7 linked regions of the Ovis aries genome follow. The protein of the gene in region 6 interacts with the protein of the main gene of each other region in a pairwise test. Links are inferred from orthologs where the notes say so. Each region holds a gene or a part of one and is shown on either strand. Other genes may lie near its edges.

The links.
Region 1: the proteins of C1H1orf94 (region 6) and MAPK1IP1L interact in binary tests that used the Homo sapiens proteins (3 or more experiments, as listed by UniProt). The two-hybrid records come from large-scale screens. The link is inferred for Ovis aries from reciprocal best matches to the Homo sapiens genes C1orf94 and MAPK1IP1L.
Region 2: the proteins of C1H1orf94 (region 6) and CDKN2D interact in binary tests that used the Homo sapiens proteins (3 or more experiments, as listed by UniProt). The two-hybrid records come from large-scale screens. The link is inferred for Ovis aries from reciprocal best matches to the Homo sapiens genes C1orf94 and CDKN2D.
Region 3: the proteins of C1H1orf94 (region 6) and RBM47 interact in binary tests that used the Homo sapiens proteins (3 or more experiments, as listed by UniProt). The two-hybrid records come from large-scale screens. The link is inferred for Ovis aries from reciprocal best matches to the Homo sapiens genes C1orf94 and RBM47.
Region 4: the proteins of C1H1orf94 (region 6) and TBX6 interact in binary tests that used the Homo sapiens proteins (3 or more experiments, as listed by UniProt). The link is inferred for Ovis aries from reciprocal best matches to the Homo sapiens genes C1orf94 and TBX6.
Region 5: the proteins of C1H1orf94 (region 6) and PLEKHB2 interact in binary tests that used the Homo sapiens proteins (3 or more experiments, as listed by UniProt). The two-hybrid records come from large-scale screens. The link is inferred for Ovis aries from reciprocal best matches to the Homo sapiens genes C1orf94 and PLEKHB2.
Region 7: the proteins of C1H1orf94 (region 6) and BOLL interact in binary tests that used the Homo sapiens proteins (3 or more experiments, as listed by UniProt). The two-hybrid records come from large-scale screens. The link is inferred for Ovis aries from reciprocal best matches to the Homo sapiens genes C1orf94 and BOLL.

What each region holds. Positions count from the first base shown.
Region 1 is NC_056060.1:65,599,011-65,603,127, forward strand, and holds the start of MAPK1IP1L (MAPK-interacting and spindle-stabilizing protein-like), read left to right. Parts: upstream 1-1,317; 5' UTR 1,318-1,475; intron 1,476-2,775; 5' UTR 2,776-2,863; intron 2,864-4,117.
Region 2 is NC_056058.1:12,923,073-12,927,359, reverse strand, and holds CDKN2D (cyclin-dependent kinase 4 inhibitor D), read left to right. Parts: upstream 1-1,487; 5' UTR 1,488-1,540; intron 1,541-1,810; 5' UTR 1,811-1,825; coding exon 1,826-1,966; intron 1,967-2,929; coding exon 2,930-3,289; 3' UTR 3,290-3,879; downstream 3,880-4,287. UniProt on the Homo sapiens protein: Interacts strongly with CDK4 and CDK6 and inhibits them.
Region 3 is NC_056059.1:60,124,311-60,127,810, reverse strand, and holds part of RBM47 (RNA-binding protein 47), read left to right. Parts: intron 1-2,686; exon of another isoform or gene 2,687-3,014; intron 3,015-3,333; 5' UTR 3,334-3,364; coding exon 3,365-3,500. UniProt on the Homo sapiens protein: Single-stranded RNA-binding protein that functions in a variety of RNA processes, including alternative splicing, RNA stabilization, and RNA editing. Functions as an enzyme-substrate adapter for the cytidine deaminase APOBEC1.
Region 4 is NC_056077.1:26,714,251-26,717,059, reverse strand, and holds the end of TBX6 (T-box transcription factor TBX6), read right to left. Parts: intron 2,076-2,809; coding exon 2,002-2,075; intron 1,920-2,001; coding exon 1,736-1,919; intron 1,634-1,735; coding exon 1,429-1,633; 3' UTR 501-1,428; downstream 1-500. Other genes in the region: PPP4C (serine/threonine-protein phosphatase 4 catalytic subunit), read left to right, coding at 1-80, 172-301. UniProt on the Homo sapiens protein: T-box transcription factor that plays an essential role in the determination of the fate of axial stem cells: neural vs mesodermal. Acts in part by down-regulating, a specific enhancer (N1) of SOX2, to inhibit neural development.
Region 5 is NC_056055.1:114,936,510-114,940,009, forward strand, and holds part of PLEKHB2 (pleckstrin homology domain-containing family B member 2), read left to right. Parts: intron 1-438; coding exon 439-478; intron 479-1,681; coding exon 1,682-1,771; intron 1,772-3,500. UniProt on the Homo sapiens protein: Involved in retrograde transport of recycling endosomes.
Region 6 is NC_056054.1:9,116,542-9,120,472, reverse strand, and holds the start of C1H1orf94 (uncharacterized protein C1orf94 homolog), read right to left. Parts: upstream 2,801-3,931; 5' UTR 2,741-2,800; coding exon 2,415-2,740; intron 1-2,414.
Region 7 is NC_056055.1:200,041,803-200,045,928, reverse strand, and holds the start of BOLL (protein boule-like), read left to right. Parts: upstream 1-1,326; 5' UTR 1,327-1,460; coding exon 1,461-1,481; intron 1,482-4,126. UniProt on the Homo sapiens protein: Probable RNA-binding protein, which may be required during spermatogenesis. May act by binding to the 3'-UTR of mRNAs and regulating their translation.

The sequences.
Region 1 (4,117 bases), on a different chromosome or scaffold from region 6:
CTCCAATGCATGAAAGTGAAAAGTGAAACTGAAGTCGCTCAGTTGTGTCTGACCCTCAGCGACCCCATGGACTGCAGCCTTCCAGGCTCCTCCGGCCAGGGGTTTTCCAGGCAAAAGTACAGGAGTGGGGTGCCATTGCCTTCTCCAATATGCTGTCTAGGTTGGTCATAACTGCTTCCAAGAAGTAAGCGTCTTTTAATCTCAGGGCTGCAGTCACCATCTACAGTGATTTTGGAGCCAAAAAGAAAAAAACGAACGTCTGCCACTGTTTCCCCATCTATTTGCCATGAATTGATGGGACCAGATGCCATGATCTTAGTTTTCTGAACGTTGAGCTTTAGGACAAATTTTTCACTCTCCTCTCTCACTTTCCCCAGGCTTAGGTGTTCGAAGTTTCTCTATCGCTCATTTTTCAGTATGGGAATTACGTGTGCTGTGGAATAAACCCACATAAGTCTTCGTTTAAGAAGCTAATAGTAAAACGTCCACCCTCCAATCCACTAACAGCAAGTGAAAATAAAATCTAATAATACTGCATACGTTTTAATTTTTACACTAAAACATATGTACGTGTTATATATGTATATTTTGCACAACACGTAATTATGACATCTTCATTGTTAGCTAGCACATTCCCTGACCGCTGCGGTCAGACCCCTTTGGGGTCTGTCACAGAGTAGATAGGTAAAGGTTTATTCAAAACTAAACTACGGGGAGAAAAAAATATTGATCAGAAAAAACCTGCAAAGATATCCATTCCTTTTGTTAATATCAATTTGTCAAGCCATTTGCAAACGTCTTCACTTTTCTGCAGTGTTGCTTTACATAGAATATATAAAAGTCACTCAGTCGTGTCCGACCTTTTGCGACCCCATGGACTGTAGCCCACCAGGCTCCTCCCTCCAGGGGATTCTCCAAGCAAGAGTACTGGAGTGGGTTGCCATTTCCTTTAGCTCTCCACAATTTTGGCCAACGGATCTGTGCCCCGGGTTAGAAGGCATTCACATCTAGCCAGCTTCGAGGCCTAACTCTCAAATGCCGCAAGTGTAGGGAATCCAGAACTTGCTTTCAAGCCTCTCCAGGAGACAATTTCCTCCAGGCTGCCAGAGCGCAACTCGCCACTGGCGTTTCCTTTAGACACTCAGAACTCCGGGAAACTAGGGATCTTTCCTCCCGCCCACCGAGAGAAAAACAGCCGAGCAGCCGTGGACTGGCTGGCCGCAGTTCCACCGGGGCCCTGAGGAGGGCGCGCGCGGCCGGGCCCCGCCGACCAGTGGGGAGGCGGAGCCGGGTGGGGGCAGCGCGTCCGAGCACGGCGCTTCCTGTTCCGGCGCCAGGAGGAGCCGCGCGCTGCTGGTGCTGCTGCCGCCCCCGTCTCCGCTGCCGTCGGTCGGGCTACGCTCGGTTCTTCAGCGCCCAGTTCTCGCGGACCCATCGCCACTTCTAGATCTTGCTGCGAGTTCGAATCTTGCCGGGTGAGGCTGCCTCGGCGCTAGGGGGGTCATGGAGGAGAGCGAGGGAGCCCGCCCAAGCGGGACGCGGGGACAGTAACGGAGGTGCCTCAGACGCCTCTTCGCGGGGGCCGGGGGCTAAGAGTCTCTCCCCGTGGTTTTCCTCTCCGCTGTGGGCAATCAGCCCGCTAGGCCCCCAAGGAGAGGGCGTCGGGGGCGGGTGACGTCGTAGCGATGGATTTCTCGGCGGGTGACGTCAGGCCTGGCTCGGGGGGCGGGGCGGGGAGCGGGCCTGGCCCCTCCCCCACCCTTTCCCGGGCGGGCGCGACCCGCTCGGAGGCCGGTTCGCTCCGGTTAATCCCGGACTCCTTTTGTTCGCTGGGCTCTGAAGGGCTACCCGCCTAGCGCCCCTTGGCCCCGACTCCCTCCCCTACTCATTAATTGCTAAGGAAAGGGAGAGGAAGGCTGAAAGATTCTTGTAGGAGTCTTTGGCGCTAGTTTAAGATTATTCGCAATATGAGGTTTTGCTCATCTTTTTTTTTTTTTGTCATCATTTTCTAGAGGAGTTCCTAGCAGATACTCAGATGAATATCCATGACAAACTGAGAAGTGTTGAGTTCTGTAGTGCTCCCTTATTTTAGGATTTAGGAGCGCCTGGTGGCTTTGGACCGTTTTCTTCTGAAAACCAAGAGTAGCGCTTTTAATAAATGGGGATAGTAATGTTGAAGCATGGAAGCATACTCATCTGACAGAAGACGAAAAACATTTTTATAGGGTTGCTACTAAAGAAATACACGCTCGTACGCTTCATGGCTGTGAGTTTGTTTTGAAAACGAACCCTCCATTAAAGACGAAGTTACCCTTCAGAAATCTTTCAGAAGCTCTTTGTTCGGGAATAGTGGTCTTCGGGCAGGAGGAATAGACATTTTTCTCAATACGAGTGTCTCTGAACTTTCTATTCAAAGCTAGTTTGTTTCAGAAACTTGAGTTATGTGTACTGGAATGTCCCTTTTTCTCTCTCCACGAGGAATGGAGACCCAGAGACAGCCCCTTAACTGAAATCCTTGGGACCAGTGTGTTTTGGAATTCAGAAATCCTAAAATTTTATCTTTAGGTTTTAGAAAGACGATAAGGTACAAAGACGAGAGATCACACCAGCGGAGTCGGGGCAGCGTCCCCAATCCAGCATTAATATTTGTGCAGCGATGAAAAGTGAAGTCGCTCAGTCGTGTCCGACTCTTTGCGACCCCATGGACTGTAGCCTGCCAGGCTCCTCTGTCCATGGGATTTTCAGGCTGGAGTGAGTTGCCATTTCCTTCTCCAGGGGATTTTCCCGACCCAGGGATCGAACCCAGGTCTCCCACATTGTAAACAGACGCTTTACCGTCTGAGCCACCAGGGAAGTCCACCAAGTAAGTTTTATGTCAAACGGGAACACTTCTTTCATTTCTAGAAGTTTCTAAATTGAGAACTGCAGGTAAAAATTTACAAACCTATCATAGCAATTTGTAGAAACTGACACCTGTTGAGTTTTTGCTACGTGCCAGACGGTGACCAGGAGATTTATTGTGTAAGTCTCACGGCAAATCTGTGAGGTGGATACTACTGTCAGCTTTCACCTCTGGGGTTGGCACAGCTTGGCTTGTCCAGAGCCCACCAGTGAACTGCAGCATTACCTAGTTTTAAATACTTGTGGTGTGCACGCCTTTATTTTTCTAATGCTTTTTTAGTTGAAGGATAATTGCTTTACAGTATTGTGTTGGATTTTGCCATACATCAGCCTGTACTAGCCATAGGTATATACATATGTCCCCTCCTTCTTGAACTTCCCTCCGACCCCCCTCCCCAGGCTTGTAGCCATATGCAGTAGCCCGTACACCGAGGAAGAGAAGATGATATGTTTATTTATGTTCTCTAGGCACTTTTACTATAGGCACTTGATTTACCAGTCCCATTTAGTCCTGACCCATTTAGCCCTGACCTTAAGGACCCATTATTATAGTTGAAGTAACAGGTTCATTGAGGTGAGCTATCTCTGAGATGGTCAAACTTTGGTCTAGAGACTCTCTGGTTGAAGCTTTCATATTCCTCCCCTTTCTACATTGCAGCCAATCTGATCTGCTTATATGTCCCTGCCCCAGCTTTTGCACAAACTGCTCCTTTCCCTAGGGCCTACCCCAGGTCTTTTTGTTCTCCCACACTGCAAAGACAGGACTCCTCAGGATTCCTCCCTTGATAATCCTTTCCTTGATACCTTTAGGAGCTCTTCAGGGTGCTCCCATAGTGCCCTGCACTTACCGCAGGTAGCCTACTGTTTAAATGGTAGTTCTCCACCAGACTGAACTGCCATTAAGTGTTTATTCCACCTAAGACTATTCATTTCCCCAAGGCCCAATGCAGTACCAAGCACTTAGGTTCCAATAAATATGAGTGTAGAAAATAGGACTAACAGGACCTTGTTGAAAAGTTATTTTTTTAATTACATATTTTTAAGTAATTTAAAATGTTCAAAAACATGCAGATCCCAATTTCTTAAGTTGTCCAAATGTAAAACAGAGTGTTAGCTAATAAATGACAATACTAGAAACTATCACATAAAAATGCTCATTCAAAATTTATATTTTCAGTACAATATATTTCCAGTATTCTTTCCCCATACTAAACAA
Region 2 (4,287 bases), on a different chromosome or scaffold from region 6:
GAGTGGGCAACATATCCATTTCTCAGCCCTGGTCATCTCTCAGCTGGGCCCTCGCAATTGCTCCCACCTTGGGCTCCCAGGCTCTGGGCTTCCCTCTCCCATGACAGCCAGTTCCCATCATAGCCACCAGAGGGCGCCTATTAACTCCTAAACTAGACCGTGGCTCCTCAATACAGAAGCTTCCCAGGGTTCCACCCATTGATTTCTGTCGTTTTGAGCAGCTTGAGGGACCGTAGTTCCCCGACCAGGGATTGAACCTGGACCCCCTGCAGCAGATGCGCGGAGTCTTAACCACTGGACCGCCAGGGAAATTCCCCATTCTTTTTAAAAAGTAAAAGTGCTCACCACAGCCCACACACCTGTTCACCCCTCACCTCCTCCCCCTTCTCTCCCTCTCTATACCTCGCTCTTCCTGGACTTACTAGACATGGTTACAGCTCAGGGCCTTGGAATCTGTAGCGCCTCCACCTGGTATGTTTTTCCTGAGAGACACACGGCTCCTTCCCTCACCTTCAGGTCTCAAATCAAATGTCACCTTCTTAGGGTGGCCATGCCCGACCTCTCTATTTCAAAGCCTTCTTTTCCCAAGACACCATTATTTATCTCATTTTGTCAGCTCCACAGTGTATAGCACTCTGAAAATATTTATTGTCGTCTCCAGCTCTAAAAGGTAAGTATCCAACAGTCAGGAGGCACCTGGCTTGCTTTCTACTGGGGTGCATAGTACACAGTAGCAGGTCGGTAAATGTGTGAAGGCCCCGCTATTGAAGGCCTCTGTTAAGAGCCTGCGACGCGACTCTCGCCTCCCAGTCTCACCCACGTGGCAGCTGGTGAATGAACTTTCTTCCACACCCTTGCATTTGCTGTGCCAGGGCTGGCGCAATCTGAGCCAAACGTGATTCCTTTTTCACTCACCCCATTTCCATGCTTTATTTTCCTCACGGTGCTTAACACTAAAATTACTCAGTAGCTCGAATGCAGGACCCCCAGCGCCAGGAACGGCTCCAGCACACAGTGAGTGAATGAAATAAAGCACTTTGCACAGTAAGAACTAACGAATATTATCGCACCGCATAACTCCAAACTGGGCGGTCCCAGCCCTGCCTCCTTTTCCCTCGGAAGTGCCGAGGTCCCGGAGCAGCCCGCGCTACCCTGCGCCTGACCTTTCTCCCCTGGGTCAGTTAAACGGGCCCTCTTTCCCGCCCGCCCGTCGCTTTTGAAAAACCGAAAACCCCGCCATTGTTCGCGGTTCACCGGTCGCCGCAGTTCGTCCAATCAGAAGCGGGCCCGCCCACGCCGGCGCCCAAAGCCTCCCTGGCAACGCGTGGCCATTGGCTGCGCTGGCAAGGAGGGCGGAGCACTACAGGGTCGGGAGCCGGGCATCGCAGCTGGGCTACAACGTAGCAAGTTCATAAGAAAACAAATCCGCGGAGTTTGGGGGCGGGGCCGCGAGAGCTCTGGCTCCGCCCCCTAGCGGCCTGCTCCGCAGCGGCGGAGACGCTGGCTCAGAACAGACCCCGCCCGAAGAGGAGGAGGGAGGGTGAGTTGGGGGGAGACCCGGCCCCCAAGGGGCGGGCGCCGGGCAGGGCCCAGCGGGCTAGCGGAGGGTTGGGCCTGGGCTCTCAGCCCCTCTCTACCCACCGGCTGACAGGGGGAGGAGCCGGCCGGGAGGGCGGGGGTCGCGCCCGAGACCCGGACAGGAGAGTCCGACCTCTTTGCAGGCCGGCGACGCTGCGGGAGGGCTGTTCGGGCTAGCGCCGGTGGGCTCCCCCTCACTGACCGCCGCGGGGTGGGGCGGGGGGCTTCGCAGGCCGCCAGTATCGACATGCTGCTGGAAGAGGTCCACGCCGGCGACCGGCTGAGCGGGGCGGCGGCCCGAGGAGACGTGCAGGAGGTGCGCCGCCTTCTGCACCGCGAGCTGGTGCACCCAGACGTTCTGAACCGCTTTGGCAAGACGGCGCTGCAGGTGAGCCCGGGCAGGCCCGCAGACCCCTTCCCTCTTCTCTCCTTGTTCCCGTTGGTAGCCGACTGAGGTCTGTTCCTGCGTCTCTGGGCTGACTTGGCTCCCTAATGTCCCCTTTCTTAGGTGGGTGGTGGATGGGGTTAGGTTGGGGGGAGGGGAGAGCTTTCCATCTTTGGAGGATTCCTTGTTCTCTGATTGCGAAGGATTCAGTTTCCCTGGAGAAGTTCTTATTCCCTGGGTGAGGGTTCACCTTCTTTGGATCCGAGTTTCATGAGGGCAGCTCCAATGTCTTGGAGCATCTATGGACGATCCGACCGCAGGAAGGAAGGATTCCTGTTTCCAAGGTGTACCCATTTTCAGGGGGTTCTCTGCGAGGTATCCAGTTTCCTGTGGGGGAGAATCTCTATTCCCGCGGGGTTTTCTTACTGGCATATTTGGGGAGGGGGATACCAATAAGGGAGTAGTCACAGATTACATGGGAGTCCGTGTTCCCTTGGGGACATTTACAAAAGGGGAACCCCATTTCATCAGAAAGGATCCCTACTATATGGGAGGGGGAAATTCCTTGGAGGAGTTTTAAATTCCCTGGCCATCTCCATTTCCTGGAGGGGACTGTTCTCTGAGGTCTGTTTCCTGGTGGGGTTCATAGTTCCTGATGATTTCCCATCTGTGGGGAGAAGTGTCTCTGGTTCCTTGGGGGAGGGTCTTAGTTTCCTTCAAAATTTCCACGGGGGTATACCCTAGCGGGGGGCGGGGGGTGACCAGTTTTTTGAAGTTCCTTATTCCCGGGAGATCTTGTTCTCTGGGGTCTCAACAGCTGCCTGAAAGTTTTTGTTCCCCGGAGTTTTTCCTTCTCTTGAGAACCTTGTATCTGGCATTGTCAACCCCTCTCTCCAGTCACCCGTTTCCCCAGACCTCCTCCTTTGGAGACTCCCTGACCCTTCTCTACCCCCATCCCCCCACCAGGTCATGATGTTCGGCAGTCCCACCATTGCCCTGGAACTCCTGAAGCAAGGCGCCAGCCCCAACGTCCAGGACGCCTCGGGCACCACTCCGGCCCACGATGCAGCCCGCACTGGATTCCTTGACACCCTAAAAGTGCTGGTGGAGCACGGTGCCGATGTCAACGCACCCGATGGCACCGGGGCGCTCCCCATCCACCTGGCAGTGAGAGAGGGCCACACCCCTGTGGTCAGCTTCCTGGCTGCCGAGTCTGATCTCCATCACAGGGACGCCAGGGGGCTCACACCCCTAGAGCTGGCACGGGGGAGAGGGGCCCAAGAGCTCATGGACATACTGCAGCGGCACACAGTGGCACCCCTGTGACCTGGGGCCACCCACTCCAGCAGCAGGACCCAGCTGAGTTCTGTGTCAGAAGAGGGAAGAAACACTTTCTCCTTTTGCTCCTCCTGCCCGCGGCCGAGGGGCACCGGTTTGTGGCTTGTTGGTGTTGATTTCTGGGGTGTGTGTGTTTGACGTGCATTTCTCGTTTTTTTTTCTCACCCCTTTCGGTGTGTTGGGCAGAGAAGGGCTCCTAGAGGCAACAGCCACCTGAACGGTTCAGTTTCCTCCACGCCTACAGACTGAGTCCCAAGGGCAGAGCGTTTAAAACCCCAGCCCTCGAGAGTGAGGGAGTGAGGTCATCTCTTCCAAGGCTCTTGGAACCTGTCGACCTTGGCCGGCTTACGGAGAGAGACCTCAAGTGTGCACACTGCTTTCCGGCATGGGGGAGGGGGGAGTGTTCCAAATCGATAAAAGGGTAGTATGAGTTCATTAATATTTTGTTGAAAGCTTCATTTCCAGTCCCTTTGTACAGCGTTTAAAAAAAAGTCTATTTATTAAGCTTTATAGAAAATATTGTTGTGTGTGTAATTTAATGTTTTTACCCATTAAATTAAGACTTGTGCATGACCACAGCTCTAGTGGCTTGTCATTTTTGATACGCGATGGAGAGTCGCGTATCCTGGATGTTTGTGGGGATGGGCCCTGGGGGTCGAGGATCGTGGATGCTTTGGAGGAGGGGAGAGAGTGGTAATTCCCAGGGCGCCAGGGGTGAGTGAGTTGGGTGGGGCAGCGGTTTACGCTGTCGGAACGGAAGGGAGGCAGGAAACCGCGAGTGGAGAAAGGGCCCCCAGATGTCAGCTGGGTGCCGGGAGCCCCGAGGGTGGGGGAGTGGGATGGGCGGTGGCTGCAGCCTTCCCCGCAGAGGCGTGGCTCGTGGGCGGGGACTGCGGTCCCAGGGCCAGGGATCCCGGAAGGGCCCGGGGCAAGGTTCTGGGCGGCCCAGGAGGCTCCGCCCCTATTTAAAGTAAACTGTGCGTAGC
Region 3 (3,500 bases), on a different chromosome or scaffold from region 6:
CATTGTGGTTCTCAGTTGCTTTTATGTATCTGTAGTGTAAAAATAGTTCATTTAAATACTATACTAATTTATATTTCATGCAAATTATATTTTTTTTTTCCATGGGTATATGCATTTATTCCTCTCCTAACTCCAGAATTATAGAGATGGCTTCCAAGGACATGAAAACAGTTAGATGAATAATATACATAGCTAAATTCATGGCATTGGGTATATAGGAGACTAAAAAAATGAAACTATAGCCAAGATCGGATGAACCTGAGAGTATGCTGTAATGTCTTACACAATTATAAAACTAAAGTGACAAATTCAATTCCAAACCTCCTAGGGTTCAAAGTAAAAAGGGAAGGGGGGCCAGTAACATGATTCATTTATCCCAGATGATGAAAGCTCAGGAAAAAAAGGCTTTTCTTGGCTTGCAGGTGCAAGAGAATAAGCTATAACTACTTACTGAAAGCAACAGATTTTCTGGTGAAATTAATAGGGCTGGAATTGAAAATGACTCCCCTAACCTGGCATTATACAGCTTTTTGTGTGAGTTAAAGAGTAGTTTCAAAGTACAATTATGAAAGTATTAAGAAAAAGTCAACTCTACATCTCTCAGAAGAGATAGAAGGACTATTCCTTTGGACTTTAGTCACTGTTTTATGTAGTTAAACCATGTTAAGATCTTGAATTCCCTCATATGTGTTTATATATATATATATACCTGGCATTTCCTTCCCAGGTCACAGATTATAAATGCATAGGTGTTTGTACAAAGAATCTTCTTATCTTAAGAATATATCCTTATCTTCCTTTTGGAAGGAGGGAAAGATCTTCATGTTCAAATCTGATATGAAATTTCTGCTTCAACACAAAACTCCAGAAACTATATTATTTTCAAATTTAAACCAGAAAAAAAGGCTTCATAATAATTAGATATGCTGCCAAAACAGCTTTCAAGCAACTGAAGAGCAAAGAAAATTAAAAATAAGAATAGCAGCCATATCAAACAGATGTTTTTAAAGAACTGAGAAAGTGTCACAATTACTCTAAAACTAAATTGGTCTGAAGTTTTACCCAGAAGTTTGGATGAAGTGTAATAACTGACATTTCTTGAGCATTTACAATTTCCCAGGCACAGTTCAAAATGCTTGTATGTATTAACTCACTTTTGTAAATGTAACAAAGTTAATACTGTTATCATTGTTCCCATTATATAGATAGGGAAACTGAGGCATGAAGGAGCTGAATATCCTTGCTTCAGGTCATACAACTAGGAAGTGTTCAAGCTAGGATTCACACATAGTCATGCACTCTGGTTCTAGCTCAGTTTGGTTCAGTCGCTCAGTCATGTCCGACTCTTTGCGACCCCATGAACCACAGCACGCCAGGCCTTCCTGTCCATCACCAACTCCCGGAGTCTACTCAAACTCATCTCCAGTGAGTTGGTGATGCCATCCAACCATCTCATCCTCTGTCGTCCCCTTCTCCTGCCCTCCATCTTTCCCAGCATCAGGGTCTTTTCCAGTGAGTCAGCTCTTTACATCAGGTGGCCAAAGCACTGGAGGTTCAGCTTCAGCATCAGTCCAGTGGCCACTCACTAACGCATGAAACTGTACTGCTGCTTGATGTTTCAGCAGACGAACCAAGGTAGTACTGGTTGGCCAACAGGTGAAAACATACATTCTGTTGTGTCCCTATCATTTTTTTTTTCTTTAGATGAGCAAATGTACCTTAATTAACCTTGAAATTTCCCTTAATATCCTGTGTAGAATTCCCAGCAGTACATTTTTAAAAATGAAAAAAAAAAATTTAGTTGAATGATGAAACCATATTCCTATTATAAATCATATTTTTACAGTTTTAAGAATGTGGAGGAATGCTTATAAAATGAAGTAAAGCAGCAGATGTAAATTTGTTGGAAGCCTAACTCCACCACTCCCATTCCCCCCAAAGAAACTATCAAAAGCAAGATGGGAAAGTTTATGTGGCTATCACTGGGTAGGAGAGTTAGGAATAACTTCTTTTTCCTACTTTTTCTTAATTTCCATAAAATTTACTTGAATACTTTAATAGTCCAAAAACATGAAATAAACTTCATTTTTTAAAAAAAAGCTAATCAGAGCTATTCTTTACAAAGGCACAGTAAGAAGCGCCTAGTGATAATCTCACTGTATAATTTTAAATCATTTCTAAGGGTCTTGTTCTGAAGGAATGAAGGTGGCGTGCTTTAGACTTGCACTTATGTAGCTATTTAATTTTAGAAAAAAATGAAAAACTCTGCAATTGTCCCATTTCAAGTATTCAGTAGCCACAAGTGGCTACCGACGGTTTTTTCATCATCACAGAGAGTTCTATTGCCCAGCACTGGTTTAGAAGAAAGAACACAAGATGGCTTGAAATCAAGTCCTGATAGGAGCAGATACCTACTGTGTGAAATGAGTAATTTATTCAACCTCTCTGAGTCTATTTCCCCATAGACAAATTGGGACTAATGATACTGTCACTTACCATGAAAGGAGATTAAGATCAAATAAGATAATGCATGTGACAATTCTCTGAAAACTATCCTGTAGTTTACCAGATAGTTGTTTCAAAAATCCCCAGCCTGAACCTAATCTAGCTCTTTGTGCACTGATTCCAAATCCATGAATGGTTCATAATTGCTGACAGGGAGTGACACCATAAAAATCAGACTTACCAGCTCTTCGCACAGTTCTTCACCCAAGTCCTTCCTTATTGTGGATATTCCATTTCTTCCCTGTAAAAAGCTTCAGCACACAGTTCTGTATCTTCTATAATAACACCTCCTCAGTTTTTTTCCTTAACAATGTAAATACACTGCCCTCTTTCCATTCCTAAATGAAAAAGCCTCTTTAAAAAGAAAGCAAAGAAAGCAGGCTTTGTCTGCCAAAGAAATAAAGGGGGTAAAACGCTATACTAAAAGGAAATCAATCTGAGTTGACAGTGCAGGAATTAAGCAAAAGATGTTGCCAACTGCCTCAAGACGTGAGGTTTGCACCCACAATGACAGCAGGTTCTCTATGCTTCAAAGCTGTTGGGGGTGCTGATTAGGCGGAAGTACCTGCTCCTTCTGATTTTTTTTTTTCCTGAGTCACTTCTGGTTTTTCCTGCAAAACAACTTGCCTAATTTAGACGATTTTAGAGCCGCCGCGCATCCAGAGAAGTCCCCATCTTATTTCTCATTTAACCACCCGAGAGTTAAGCGTGAGTCTTGGATGGCTTTAAGAAAAAAAAAGAGGAAAAGAAGAAAAAAAAATTGTGGTCAAGTTGTGGCTCAACTTGTTGTAGATTCTAGGCTCATCCTCTCCCTCCTGCCTTCCCCAGGTCTCCACCGGCCGTGGATGCCTGTGACATTATGACCGCAGAGGATTCCACCGCAGCCATGAGCAGCGACTCTGCCACAGGGTCCTCTGCCAAGGTGCCCGAGGGCGTGGCGGGCGCGCCCAACGAGGCGGCGCTGCTGGCGCTGATGGAGCGCACGGGCTACAGCA
Region 4 (2,809 bases), on a different chromosome or scaffold from region 6:
CAACTGGTGATGGAAGGTTACAAGTGGCACTTCAACGAGACTGTACTCACTGTGTGGTCGGCACCCAACTACTGCTACCGGTGAGCTGCCTGGGCTGGGGAGGTTGAGGTAGGGATCCAGGCTGAGCCACGCTGTTAACACTGCTGCCCCCGCCTTCCCCCCGACTTCCAGCTGTGGGAATGTGGCAGCCATCTTGGAGCTGGATGAGCATCTCCAGAAAGATTTCATCATCTTCGAGGCCGCTCCCCAAGAGACACGGGGCATCCCCTCCAAAAAGCCTGTGGCCGACTACTTCCTGTGACCCCTTCGGCCCTGCCCCCCTCCGGCCCCCGGACCACTGTGACTCTGCCCTCTTCAGACGGAGGCTGGGCATGGGGGGGGCTGTCCCCGGCTTTGCTCTCCCTGCAACAGAGGGCACTTCGAGGGTGAGGACTTTTCTGGAGAGGCTGGGAGCCTCAGTTCCATGCTCCTCCTCCCGTCTCCCCACTTGAACCATGAAGTTTCCAATAATTTTGGTTTTCTTTTTTTCCTTCTTTTTTTTTTTTTGGTTTGTTTTTAGATAAAAATTTTGAGAAAACAAAAAAAAAAGAAAAAAATTCTAATAAAAGAAGAAAAATGGTCTTTCGGTTGGTGTTGACTGGGTATGAGCAGTGGTACCGGCCTTGGACCTGGGATTTATATCAGGACTTTGATGCCCCAGAACCCTAATCCTGCCAGCAAGGTGAGGCTCAGGCCGGTTAGCTTGCCCAGAGCCTCCTGGTCCCCATCCAGTGACAGTGATCACTGCTGGGGGTTTCCTGAGTGCCAGGGAGAGGGCTGGGTTCTCGGGCAGCCCTGTTTAATTCTCAGAATGTCATGTCAAGACAGATTCCTCCATCTTCCTGAAGAGGAAGCAGACCCTGAGCATTGACTTAGTTAGATTCACAAGGTCAAGCAGCTGGAAATGACAAGTCTTGATTGGGGCCTGCGTCTCCTCACAAAACCTCTGCTCAACCAGCCCCACTCAGGGCCAAAGACCATAGTGTTTCCAGAGCACTGACGTCTTTCGAGTTTTATTAACAAAAATACTCTGGACCTGAGAACAGACCCGTGTGGCTCGCCCTGGGGAGGGGGTAGGACTTGTAGAGCCCAAGGGTGAGGCTGGGGGTGGGAGTGCTGGTCCCAGGCCCCATTTGGCCAGGCAGAGCCCCTCCATTCACACCGAGGTGAGAGCCTGGAAGGGGAAGCTGGCCCCAGCTGGACTCCCAGCGGCTTAGCCAGAGCTTTGAAGCCAGAGGGGGTGGGAGTGAAATCAAAGTGTGAAGTGGGGTGGGGGAGGCCCAAGGCAGCCATTTGGTGTGGGGGAGGGGGTAGTGGAAGTGAGGGGGCAACAGGCCTGGGGGAAGGGAACTGGAAGATGGGGAGGGAGGCAGGGGGCTTAGCAAAGGCTCAGTACATTGGTTTGGAGCCCACATCCAGGTAAGCTCCAGGCCCAGGGTAGGGCAGTGGGAAGGGGCCCCCTTGGAGGAAGTGCGAGGCAAAGGATGCTGAGGGTGCTGCTGCTGGGTATCCTGAGCCTGCTGGCCCGGGCTGCAGCTCCAGGAAGGCGGCTGAGTAGGGGGCTGGGCGCCCAGAGTCTGGAGCCTCCGGGAAGCTGGGATTCCCGAAGAGCGGAGAGGTATCAGGACAGGGGAGAGGGGACCACCCCCTCGTCTCAGCCTGGAACAGCCCAGCCCTGTGCCGCTGACCCACTCACCTGATTGGAAGGTGACTGGGGGCCCCGTGGAAAGCGGCAGGGTGCAGCAGGTAGGCCTCAGCACTGGGGCCACTGCAGGGAGGAGCTGGGGCAGGGGCAGCTTCCCCAGGCACTGGGGCCTGCTCTGGATCTGACTCCCGAACATCCCCACCCAGTGTGGAATCACAGGGACCACCTGGAGCATCTGGGGAGACAGAAGGGCCAGAGCGGGTTAAGGAGGATCGGCATCTCAGGCCTGGTCCCATCACCTCTGGAATGACACTCACCTCCACTCCCATAGCCTGCTGTGGCTGCCGGCTCTGGGCCCCGCAGTTTCCTCTTCACACGGGCGTCTCGCTCCCTGGGGGACAGTGATGATGATGGTGATGATGATAATGGTGATGATGATGGTAATAATGGCACTTACCAGGTGCCAGGCACTTCACCCAGGGACCCTATCAGGTAGGTGCCATTATTATACCCATTTTACAGAAAAAGGAATAGAAGGACAGAGAATTAAATGACTGGAAAACAGTAGTTGCTTAGTTGCTAAGTTGTATTGGACTCTCTTGTGACCCCATGGATTGTAGCCCGCCAGGCTCCTCTGTCCATGGGATTGCCCGGGCAAGAATACTGAAGTGTGTTGCCATGTCCTTCTCCAGGGGATCTTCCTGATCCAGGGATCAAATTCACATCTGCATTGGCAGGCAGGTTCTTTCCACTGGGCTACCCTGATAACTTGTCAAGAGCGATACTGTTACATTTATCATATTCATCAGGGTGATCCTTAAGTTAATATCTCTCTCTTCTGCCTGATTCTAAGTGTCTTGAGGGCAAGGGCCAGCTCTGAGGGGTTAGGGTTAGTTAGAAGAAGCTAATGTCCTAACCAAAACTTTACAGCCCACCATAATCTGGCTCCTATTACCTCTCACTCCACACCAGCCATACTGTAGCATGCTCCTACCCCAGGCCCCTGGCATGTTCCCAGATACTCACATGGTTCCCTTCCATACTTCCTCCGAGTCTTCTCAAATGTCCTCTTAGTGAGGCCTTTCCAGGACTCATCTCTCCAGTCCTGATCTTTTTGCTTTCTTT
Region 5 (3,500 bases), on a different chromosome or scaffold from region 6:
TCTCACTTCATCAAGAGGCTCTTTAGTTCTTCTTCACTTTCTGCCGTAAGGGTGGTGTCATCTGCGTATCTGAAGTTATTGATATTTCTCCTGGCAGTCTTGATTCCAGCTTGTGCTTCATCTAGCCCAGCCTTTCACATGATGTACTCTGCATATAAGTTAAATAAGCAGGGTTACAGTATACAGCCTTGATGTATTCTTTCCCAATTTGGAACCAGTCTGTTGTTCCATGTCCAGTTCTCACTGTTGCTTCTTGGCCTGCATACCGATTTCTCAGCAGGCAGGTGAGGTGGCTGAGAACCCCACGAACAATATGAAAAGGGCTAAATGTCTGTTATTAAAACAAGGTTTTTCAAAAATTCTGATGCCACTCCAGGTTTGAGATGGATGTTGGATTGCCTCAGATAAAGTACCTTTTTTTCTTTTTCTTTTCTTTAGGGCCTGGAAATTTACACTCCAGGATTCCAGGACAAACACAGTAAGTTGCTAATGGCAGTCACTTACAATGTTTTCTCATAGTCTTGCTGTAAAAAATGGGAGAATAGGAGGGTGAGAAGGAAAATGGCAGTGTTTTTGCCACTTGGCCCTAGATGAGCAAGCAGAGATAGACAGGCTGAGTTTCACTGACAGCTGGATTTTGGAAAACATTTTGGCAGGAGCCAATCTAACACAGGTACATTAATCCCAGTTTTATTTTTTAGAAATGTCTGTATCTCACAAAGATTTACAGCACTTTGAATTCTGCTGTGGTTTGCAGAGAAAGCACAAAAGGGATTACAGGGCCCTTTCCATGTATAGCATCTCAGCCTGTGAAATAAACATTTTTGAGTCTTGTACTTGTCTCTAGTTTCTTTCGACTTTAGGAGGTAACTGAGACAGTAAACCCCATTTGTAGAGGATAGTGGTACCATCTTTGTGTCTGTCAGGGAGTAAAAGGCAGTTCCCTCCGTGGTCAACATTTTCTTTCATTCTTCAGATAGGATTTTATTTTTTCCTTTATTTCTCTAGGAGGAAAAGAGATAGATGGAGCTTTTTAAATGATTTGTACAGGTGGGAGAAGAAAGTAAAAAGACTTAATATTCAAATGCTATTTTTTACTACTTTTGTTAGCTCAGGACTATTCTTCCCCCTAAGCTTACTCTGAAACTCCCATTGCCTTTTCTTTGATGAAAATCCTCTACTCAAATGAAGTTATTTAGTATTGATGATTCATATAGTTAGGGACAAGAGCCAAGGTGATTCTCTTTGTGGATTTTTTTTTTAAGGAGCGCATATGTTTTTGTTTCCCACTGAGGGGTAATTTAATGCAAGATTGAAAAAGTTTTTAATGTAGAAACCGGATTGTGAGTACAGGATGTATCCCTGCCTGCTACATTTTAGACTGTAGGATTTTTATTTGTGAACAAAAGTCTTGTTGAGAGTGGTATCACATCTTTTAAAGGGCCTGGGTAACACTGGAGGCTCTGGCTTTCTTGGGCAGTGAGAACTCTTTTACCCCCTACTGGTGACTGAGGAGGACCAACTCCTCTTTAATTCAAAGGACACTAAATGCAGGGTTGGGGGCAAGGAGAAGGTCATCTTGCTAGTCATTGCTTCTCAGAGAGTTGTTATATTTCCCCTTCAAAGATTAAACTTTTTGGCCTTTAATTTTTTTTTTTTTTTTCACAATTTCTCTCTTAAGGCTTACGTTGGCTCAGAAGTCATGTATGATGAGACAGCTGTGGCTTCCTCTCCACCTCCTTACACAGCATATGCTGCACCGACCCCTGAGGTAGGGAGCCGATCTTCACTTTACAGAATCCAACTGAGGGAAACTTGGGGTCTCTGTGCCACCATCCTTTTAAAACTAAAAGAAAACTTTGAGCCAAACAGTATTAGAGAAATTAGAAATGTACTTGAAACCCTTTCCTTCTTTAAACTTTTTTCTATCTTAAACAGATTATCTATTGTCTTTTGCTTTTATAAAGCAACTGCTTTATATAATCTTCATGTTCATATTTTCAAGATAGACCCAAAAATGAATCATGGTATTAATAATATGATTCTGATGATTTAAGTTTATACTTAATTTTTTTACTTACTCTTTATAATCAGAAAAATATGCTTTTTTAATTTGAAGATACAAAACCAGAACCTTAAAGTCACATGCCAAACCCCTCTGCTGCTGCTGCTAAGTCACTTCAGTCGTGTCCGACTCTGTGTGACCCCATAGATGGCAGCCCACCAGGCTCCCCCGTCCCTGGGATTCTCCAGGCAAGAACACTGGAGTGGGTCTGGGTGTGCCCTAATTAGAGGGCCAGGGGTTCAGTGCTGCATATGGAAGCCTCTCTCGCGGGAGGCACTTCTGCTTTTTTTTTTTTTTCTTTTTTCATTTTTAATTTGGAAATAATTATAGACTTACAAGAAGTTGCAAAGATAATATGGAAAAATCTCATGTACTCTTTACCCTGTTCCCTAGCTGTTACATGGTAAATAAAATCAAAACCAGATGTTTGAAATTGGTGTAGTGTTTATATCTGGTTCTGTCATTTTATCATGCATGTAGATATATATATCTCCTACCTGTCAAGATGTGAAACTGTTTATAACATCTTCCTACTACACCCTCTTCTAGTCATACCCTCCTTCCCCTTCCTAAACTGCTGTCAATCACTGATTTGTTGGCCGTCTATATAATCGTGTCATTTCTGCAGTGTGTGTAAACAGAATCATATAGCCTGTGATCTTTTGAGTTTGATGTTTTTTTTACTCAGCACAGTGCCCTTGTTGCATTGTTAAATTGCAGCACTCAAATACATGTGTCAGTGGTCTTTTCCTTTTTATTGCTGAGTGGTGTGCCATGATATGAGTGTACCACGTTTTGTATTGAGAGACATTTACCTGTTGGGGGACATTTTCATTGTGCTAGATTTTGGCTGTTACCAGTAAACCTACTGTGAACCCTCATGTACAGGTTGTTGTGCAGACATAAAGTTTTATGCCCAAAAATGCTGTTGCTAAGTTGAATATATTAAAGTATATGATTATTTTTTAAAAAAACTGGCAAACTACTTTCCAGAATTTTTCTACCATTTCACTTTTCCATCAGTAGTGTGTGAAGGATTCATTTTCTTTGTATCCCACCAGCTTTTGGTATTGTCACTGTTTTTTATTTTAATTGTTCAATAGGTATGTAGTGATATTTCATTGTGGTCTTAATTGCATTTCCGTAGTAGTCTGTGATGCTGAACATCTTTTTGTGCTTATTTGCCATCTGTGTATGCTGTTCAAGTAAGCCGTGTTTTCTTGTCTTTTGCTCATTTTCTAATTGTTTTAATTATTTTTTTATTGTTGAGTTTTGAGGGTTCTTATATATGTGAGATAGGAATAATCCTTTGTCAGATGTGTGATCTGTAACGTATCTCTGTATCCTCTTGACAGTGCCTTTCACCGTGTTTAACACAGTCTAATTTGTTGGTCTTTCCTTGTATGGATCGTGCTTTGTTGTCACATTTAACACT
Region 6 (3,931 bases):
AAAGTTCAAAAGAAGGGGAGTTTAAAAATAGTCCCCAGTTCATGTAATAATTGCAGGGCTTAAAGAAATCACCATCATCATTATAAGGAATTTTTACAAATCCTAGTTATTACTGGAAATGTTTAAATATCCCATTTAATCATCCCAACAACACCATGAAATGCATAGTAATCATCTCCATTTGGCAGATGAGGAAACTGAAGCTCACATCAATTAAACAAATCCCGCAGCTGGCACAGGGCTGAAATGAGATCTGAAACCAGAGCTATCGGACTCCACCATCGCAGCTGCCTTTATTTCAAGAATAGCTCATTGTGTTCTACTTGGTTGATATCTGCACAATTATGATATCGTTTATTCAGCTACGGCAATGGTTTCCCAGCTCTTTTCTTATGGCAGAATCTTTTATTTCAGTGCAGCCTTTACTTTACTTTTTTTTTTTAATGATTTTTTTTTTAATTGGAGGCTAACTACTTTACAATATTGTAGTGGTTTTGGCGTACATTGACATGAATCAGCCATGGATGTACATGTGTTCACCATCCTGAAGCCCCATCCCATCCCTCTGGGTCATCCCAGTGCAGCCCTGAGCACCCTCTCTCATGCATCGGACCTGGACTGGCTACTTTACTTCTGAACTCCAGTGAGCAAAAGCCATAAAAGCTGAACAGTTCTGGCTGAGGTGGGGATTGGGACCCAGAATCAGGCCACTCAACTTGAAGGTGGCCTCTGAAGTACTCTAGCATTTATCAGCATCATGTGAAAACCCCAGATCGAAGGCAACAAAAAACAACCCACACCTCCAAGCCCTGAGAACTGCATTTAGGGACAGCCTCACTGGGATAATGTAGCTGATTGTTTCCTGTCCCCATCACATTTGATCCTCATTATCAACTCAATGTGGACAGGGCAGGGCATATCACCCTCCATTTGCGGATGAGAAAATCAAGGCCAAACGGACCGGCCAAAGGTTTGCCAGGTTCACTTTCCAGCCAAGTGCAGACTGGAAGTAGAGTCTGTTTCCACTAACTCCGTGAGTCCTGGCAGAGAGGGTGCCAGCTACTGGAAACTGCCACTGACCCTTGGTTCACAAAGGGGACAATCAGCTCTTTGGCCATTGAGAGCTGAGCACAGCCCCACAGGCCCCCTGCCCAGTCCTTGTCCCAGAGCAGATGGCAGTGGGTCTCAGTGCCACCGGAGGGCCAGATAGCAGGAATCTGGCTGTAGACAGGCCATTCCCATCCCAGCCATGTCCTGCTGAGCAGGGGCAGAGAGGCAGCAATAGCCAAAGTGCCTTCTTCCCTTATGTGTAGTAACTGAATGAGCCCCAAAAGGACCAGACTTCAGGGAGTGTGAACTGGGAAGCAGTTACACTTTGCCTTTCCTAGCTCTTGCGTAGAAATCCCTGAAACCAGAAACAGTTGATAATGGCCTGAAGGGTTCCCCCACTTCAGAGCATCTCTGAGCTGAGCTGGAGCATGTGTTGGAACAGGCAACACTTAGTTATCACCTAGTCTTTAATGACCACTTAATTATTAACACTTAATCCATCTGTAAAATGGGGACACGAATACCTGCCTTATTGGGACTCTGGGAGGATTAATTAATGTTTGCAGCCCACTTTGAAGATGCAAAGCAGTGAACACGTGCTCAAAGGTGACATTAATAACTCGGTGGATTTATTCGCTTTTCCTAACAAGGTCCTTTCTTCCTCTCTGCTCCTCCCTCTCCTTTCTAATATATCCATCCCCAACAATATCTGCCCAAATTTGCCCTGGTGGAGAAACATTTAGCTCTGTGTTTCCCAGATACAGGATTTCCCATCCAGGAAACGGGCTATTTACAGCCATCTTCCCGCACTTTAATTTTCTATTATGTCCTCTGAATATGTCAATGCCTTCCCAGTAAATATTTTGATGTGCGCTCTTGCAGCGGCTTCTGTGGAGGCTGAATGGGACAGCTGCTCCCTGTATTAGGGAATTCCAGATGTGGTTTAAAACCACCAAATTCATCTGTGCCAATGCCTAGCTTTACAGGGCGGGAGGGGAGAAGCATATTCTAGTTGCCTCTGGGGAAAGCCACAGACATCTAACCTTCTCCCTGGCTAGGGTGGTTTTTCAAGGTCTTCGGATCTACCTTGGTATTGTCTATGCCTCTGCACAAGAAATGTCCTCGAAGTGGGCTGGTACAGCAGCAGAAATATAGTTCTGTTCTGGCCCCTCACCCAGGTAACTTCAGGACCCCAATCATTTTGTTCCTGTAAAGACTGTCAAAGGGTCGTGGTGGGTGGGGGAAAACACACAGCCTTTAGGGTTTAGCCAGGCAGAACAACAGGTCAAAACACTTCCCCCAGACCCCGAAAGTCAGCCCTCATCTCCTCCCTCCTCCCTTGCGTGAAGTAAGGGCACACTCACTCTTCTTGGAAGCTGAGCCCGTCTCTCGGAGTGCCAGCCACGGGGGCAGAGAGCTGCTCCTTGGAGGTCCTGGGCTGCAGGGCCTCTGGCAGGCCCTGAACTCTCTTCCAGATTTCATGGCAAGTCTTGTCTAAGCTGTCCTGGGGTGTGTCCTGGTGGATCCAGATGTATCTGGGGAATGGGCCTAGGGCGGAGGGGCGCTTGGCCACCAGGGCCGAGGACGAAGCCAGCCCATTGCCACTGGCCATCCTCTTCCTCTCTTTCCAGAAGCCCCTTTGTCCACCCAGGGCTCGAAGACAGGGTGACCATCCACCACCACCCCTCATTCACCAGGAAGGGCAGTGAGGATGGGGAGGAAGGAGGTCAGTTCTGGCTGACCGCTGGTCCAGAAAGGTGACTGCGTTCAGAGGCCCTTGGTTTGTGTTTGAAAGATGAATGGACAGCTTTCTTGCGGGGAGGGGGAGCTTATTTTGATCTGTTTTTAGTTGCTCTTTCCTGACTTTTGCCCCCCTCCCCCTCTCCCGTAGAAGAAAATATTTAAAAGTCAACAAAAACCAGTAGCTTAGTAACCGTGGAATCCCCCTGAGCTCAGGAACCAGGCGCCTGGGTGGGCAGAATGACATCTGGGAACAGCTGGAGGGGGAGGGCTGGCTCTCCCCACAGTCCCTGGCCCTCACCCGTTGCCACGCCGCCCTAGGCTCAGTCCATCAGTGCCCGCTAAGCCTGGGGGTGCGGGGGTGAGGGCCTGGCATCGTGCGAGGCACCGGGGGCTGGGAGCCCGCCATCGGGTTCTCCCGAGAGGGTCTTCCCAGGCCCCCCGCCCGGCTGAGCCCCGCTTTGCTCGCCCCACCGGCCCCTCTGGTCTCCCTCTCCCTGCCGCTCAGCTGCCCGCCCGCAGGAACAGTCCCCGAGTGCCCAGCGCCCGCCCGCTGTCCCCAGCAGACACCAGCTACGACCCCCCTCCCCGCCTCGCCAGGCTTTGGGATTGTCGGGGAAGGGTCCCTAAGCCTTAAACGGGCGCTTTCTCCGCGGGGCGGCTGGGCCAAATTGCCTGCTTGTGGCTCCCTGCCTGTGGACGCTTCCCGTCCAGCGCTGGAATTCCTTGGTGGGTTTCAAACGCAACGGCTAGGTGCGCGGGACGCCCAGGGTTCGGTCGGTGCTCCAGGCCCTCCGGGGTGGGGGGGTGGGGGTGGGGGCGGGGTCCGGAGGACCCCAGGACGCTTGCCCTCGTTAGAAGTCCAGGACATCGCGCCCCCGCCTGGCCCGCCGCTCCTCCGCACCCACCTGGGCGCTGCCCCTGAGTCGCTGATTTCACCCCTCATTGCCATTTGATCGGGGGCTTACCATGTGCCTGGCGCTGGGCTTTTTCTGTGTCCTATTCACTCCGAACAACCTCATGAAGTTAGTACCATTACGTCCTCTCCTTTTACATTTGAGGAAACCGAGTTTCTAAGGAGTGTATCCAAGGCCCACCCAGAAGTGGGGAACTGGGGTTCAAACCCAGGCACCCCAGGCTA
Region 7 (4,126 bases), on a different chromosome or scaffold from region 6:
TTTGAACTGTGGTGTTGGAGAAGACTTGAGAATCCCTTGGACTGCAAGGAGATCCAACCAGTCCATTCTAAAGGAGATCAGCCCTGGGATTTCTTTGGAAGGAATGATGCTGAAGCTGAAACTCCAATACTTTGGCCACCTCATGCGAAGAGTTGACTCATTGGAAAAGACTCTGATGCTGAGAGGGATTGGGGGCAGGAGGAGAAGGGGACGACAGAGGATGAGATGGCTGGATGGCATCACGGACTCGATGGATGTGAGTCTGAGTGAACTCTGGGAGTTGGTGATCGGCAGGGAGGCCTGGCGTGCTGCGATTCATGGGGTCGCAGTCGGTCACGACTGAGCGACTGAACTGAACTGAACTGAATCATAGTGCCATAATCACCATAATCATTACAGAAGTTTACCGAGTTGTGATTGTTTAAAATTGGTTATATATGTTTATATACATAAGTAAAGTGTGTGAAGTTGATGACATATGTATTGATGCATAAATGGCAGCTACTTTTCAGAAGGACTTTTTACAAAGCAGACTTCTTTCAAAGGAAATAGAGCCAATCCAGCCAAGTGGCACAGTCCTCACCCCTGGAAGCTCGCAGGTAGATCCATCGCTGACCCGCTGTGCGGCGGGCCGGCTGTGTTCAGCGGGCGGGCTGTGTTCAGCGGGCGCGGGCCTAAGGCGGACGCCGGAGCTCGGACGGGGCGGCGCGGCGGTTCCCTGCCAAGCGGCCCACGCCGCCCCGCCCGCTCGGCTGGGATGAGTGACGGCGACAACAGGTGCGCCGAGGCGTCTGTGGCTTCTCCGGAGCCCCCGAGTTTGGCGCGTCAGGCCCCGGGGGTCAGGCTTTAACTCTGCAAACTGGCCTCCTCTCCCCGCACCAGCCTTACGAAGTCGCCCGTCAACCGGCTTCTTGCACCTTAGTAAAGCAGCCTCTAAACGCACCGCCACCTCTCGAAAACCCACCAGTCCTAGAAGCCAACTTTTCTCCAAAGGGGAGGAGAGGAAAAGGCGTGTGGTGCATGGAGCTCTGCCTAGCCGTTCGCTGTCTCTTCCCCAGCCGTCCGAAAGCAGACGAGAGTGGCTTGAGAATAGAGCCCTCGATCCGCACACCTCACGCCCGCCCCGACCTGCTGCACGCTCTGCCCTTGAGACGGCCCAGCTCGGCGACCACGGGCCACCGCCGAAACCTGCCCGCCCGCGCCCCTCCCGGGCTTGCGGCGCCCGCCCGCACTGCCACCCGCCGCCCGAGGCTACGTCGTCTGCCCCTCCCTATCCCCGCCGGTGGCAGGTTCAGGCCCCGGGTTCGAGTCTGCGCCCTTGCAGCTGCCACCGCCGCCGTCGCCGCCAGGGGGAGAAAGTCTCCGTCGGGAAGCGTGGTGTTGCTTCCCGGGTGTGAAGGTGCTTTCGAACTGTAGGTTTCTGCGCCTTTCCCCCTGGCTTTTGAAGAGCAGAGAGGAAGATGGAGACCGAGTCCGGGGCGGTGAGTACGGCGGTCAGGGCCCAGAGTCCTGGGCCTCGGGCTAGCGGGGAGAAGGAGCAACGTGGACTCGGTCTGTGAGGGGCTGGAAGGACGAGTCTAGAGCTCGCTATTTTGTCAGCAAGAACCGTGGACAGGGCGCCCCATCGACCGCCATGAATAGCGGCCTGCCTGCAGGCCCGGTCGGGTTGTGTAGTGGGGTCAGGCAGGTGCGATGCCGGGCCTGGACTGGTGTAGACCTGCTGGGAGGTTCCGGGAAGTGTGGGTAACCGGGTCCTGTGCACCAGGCTGGGTTCAGGCTAGAGAACCAGCTTTCCCGCCGAAAGTAGGTTCGGCTGCGTCTTTGACGCTCACTCCAGCCACACTCAGCCTAGCCACCCTCATGAGGAGTTGACCAGGTGGCCATCCCCTCCACTTCCCTACCGGTCAGCGGAAACCAGAAGTCCTGAGAGACCTGGTGGGGGGGCGAGTGTGGGTTATATGGGGCACCTGGGCACAGGTTGGACCTGGACACTCGCGCCCAAGCCAGTCTGGGCCGGGTGGGGGAGGGGTGGGAGACCGAGTAGGCCCGAAGGGCTGTGGCAACGTGCCGTCGCGCCCCACCCCGTGCCCGCCGGCAGCCAATCAGCGAGTGCCACGCGATGCGCGCGGGGCCCTGCTACGCACGAGGCCGGCGTCTGGGTCTGTGCCGTTGAGGATTCCCGCCACTGCTTCTGGCGGGTTTGCGGGACAAAATTTCTCGCTGGCTAGCCTTCTTTTCCCTCCCGCACTTTGGTGGGGAGGGGGTGGATCCTCGAATCGGTGGTCCAGTTCACGATGACTTGAGAGAAACTGAGGAAGTTGTTGCTGCGGCCATTTCCTCCAGCACTTCAGCTTGCTGGCCTCGGAGGGGAAGGAGCGCCGAGTCCTTGACTGCGACGGTTAGCCCGTCTTTTTCCTCTTCTCTTCATTGGCAGAGTAGATGATAAATTTCGAGGTTAATTCTCCAGGGGAGGAGGCAGTGGGGGCACATTACTTTGGAGGAAATTTTAAATAAACTTTTTAGTACTAGAAGTTTTACTAAGCTAAGGACCCTTACTGCTTGCCCCAAAACAGCACCTGGCTAGGTGCTTTTCATACATTTGCAAAATTTTGCTGGCAGAATTTGAGGCATTCTGAATTAACTCAATAAATCGCTAACTGTCTCTAAGGAACTTAAAGATTGCCTCTACCTGAGCTTTGTTACTTCCAAGATTAAAATATTTTCTAGGGTTTTATTCATGTTGTAGTCTTCAGCCCACAACCTAAGGGTTGGTGAATCGTGAGCAAGAGGAAATTATTTATTCTTCATTCAACAAATGTTTATTGAACACCTGCTATATATGGTCTTAGATACTGCGGTGAACAAAACAAGCAAAGTCCTTTTTTTGAACATTACAATATAGTGGAAAGAGATGACAAACGTAGTATAAATTACATAGTGTGTTGGAAAGTGATTAGTGGTAAAGGGAAAAAATAGTTGGAACCCACAATAGAATAGGAACGTTAAAAATTGAACAATGATGTGAATAGCATGTACAAAGTTCGTGTTTTTCCTTCCTCCGTGTTGAGGATTTCTTAAGATTGGAAATAAAGCACTTTGTTCTCTTCCATTCATGTCATTTTTCTCTCATAAAAATAAAACCAGTGGAGTTTTATTTAAATAAATTTGAAAGCAAAAGAGTTCATCCATTGAATTATTTTGTTTTAAAGAAGAGAATTTCATGAATTTTTTTTAAATTTTGCAGATAAGTAATTTTTGCATTCTCTAAACAAATAGGCAGATAGAGTAGATTGTTTCTGCCAGAGCTGTTCAGTTATCTTTAGCAATACAAATCCACAATTGAAAAGTAAAACAAAACATCCCAGAATCATCCAGTCTGGCACTATGTCTTACAGGTGACTGAAGTTATAAATTAACTTTCAAATGCCCTGAGAGGATGCTATTAAGATTGGTTTCCCAGTTTTAACTGGCAGCTACAACAGAGCAATTATTAAATATGATGACTTTGTGGTTTAAAAGATATTTTTATGAACTCCCTTACTAGGGAGCGTTTTTCCTTCTTAAGACTAGATGGACAATAGACCCCAAAAGCCTATAGCCTGGTAGTCACCACTGGCCTAGATATTTCTCTGTACATCTTGCAGAGATTAATTTTTAGGGATTATGGCTTATTGGCTAGTAAAGTGAAAGGAGAGCAGTGTGAAAAAGAACAACTCCATTATCTAAGTGGGAAATTCATTTTCATGAGTTTGTTTTTCAGAGAATTTAAGTCGTGAACTTCAAGCTTTTTGAAGCACTCTTCGAGTGTCTCAGAAGTCTCTTTAGTGTTCTTATAAGGAAAATAGGAAGTTGTTATATTTGTTTCTCTTTAAAATTCTATTCCCAAGTCTTGTTTTTTTTCCAGTGTACCTTAAGAGTCTATCTACTATTTTGTTATTGTGCAAAGGCATATATGTTAGTTGTTATTGTTTTTATAGTTGCTAAGTCATGTCCAACGGTTTGCAACCTCATGGACTGTGGACCACCAAGCTCTCCTGTCCGTGGTATTTTTCAGGCAAGAATACTGGCATGGGTTGCCATTTTCTTCTCCATTACTTGTTAATACGTATTTATTAACATCTGAATT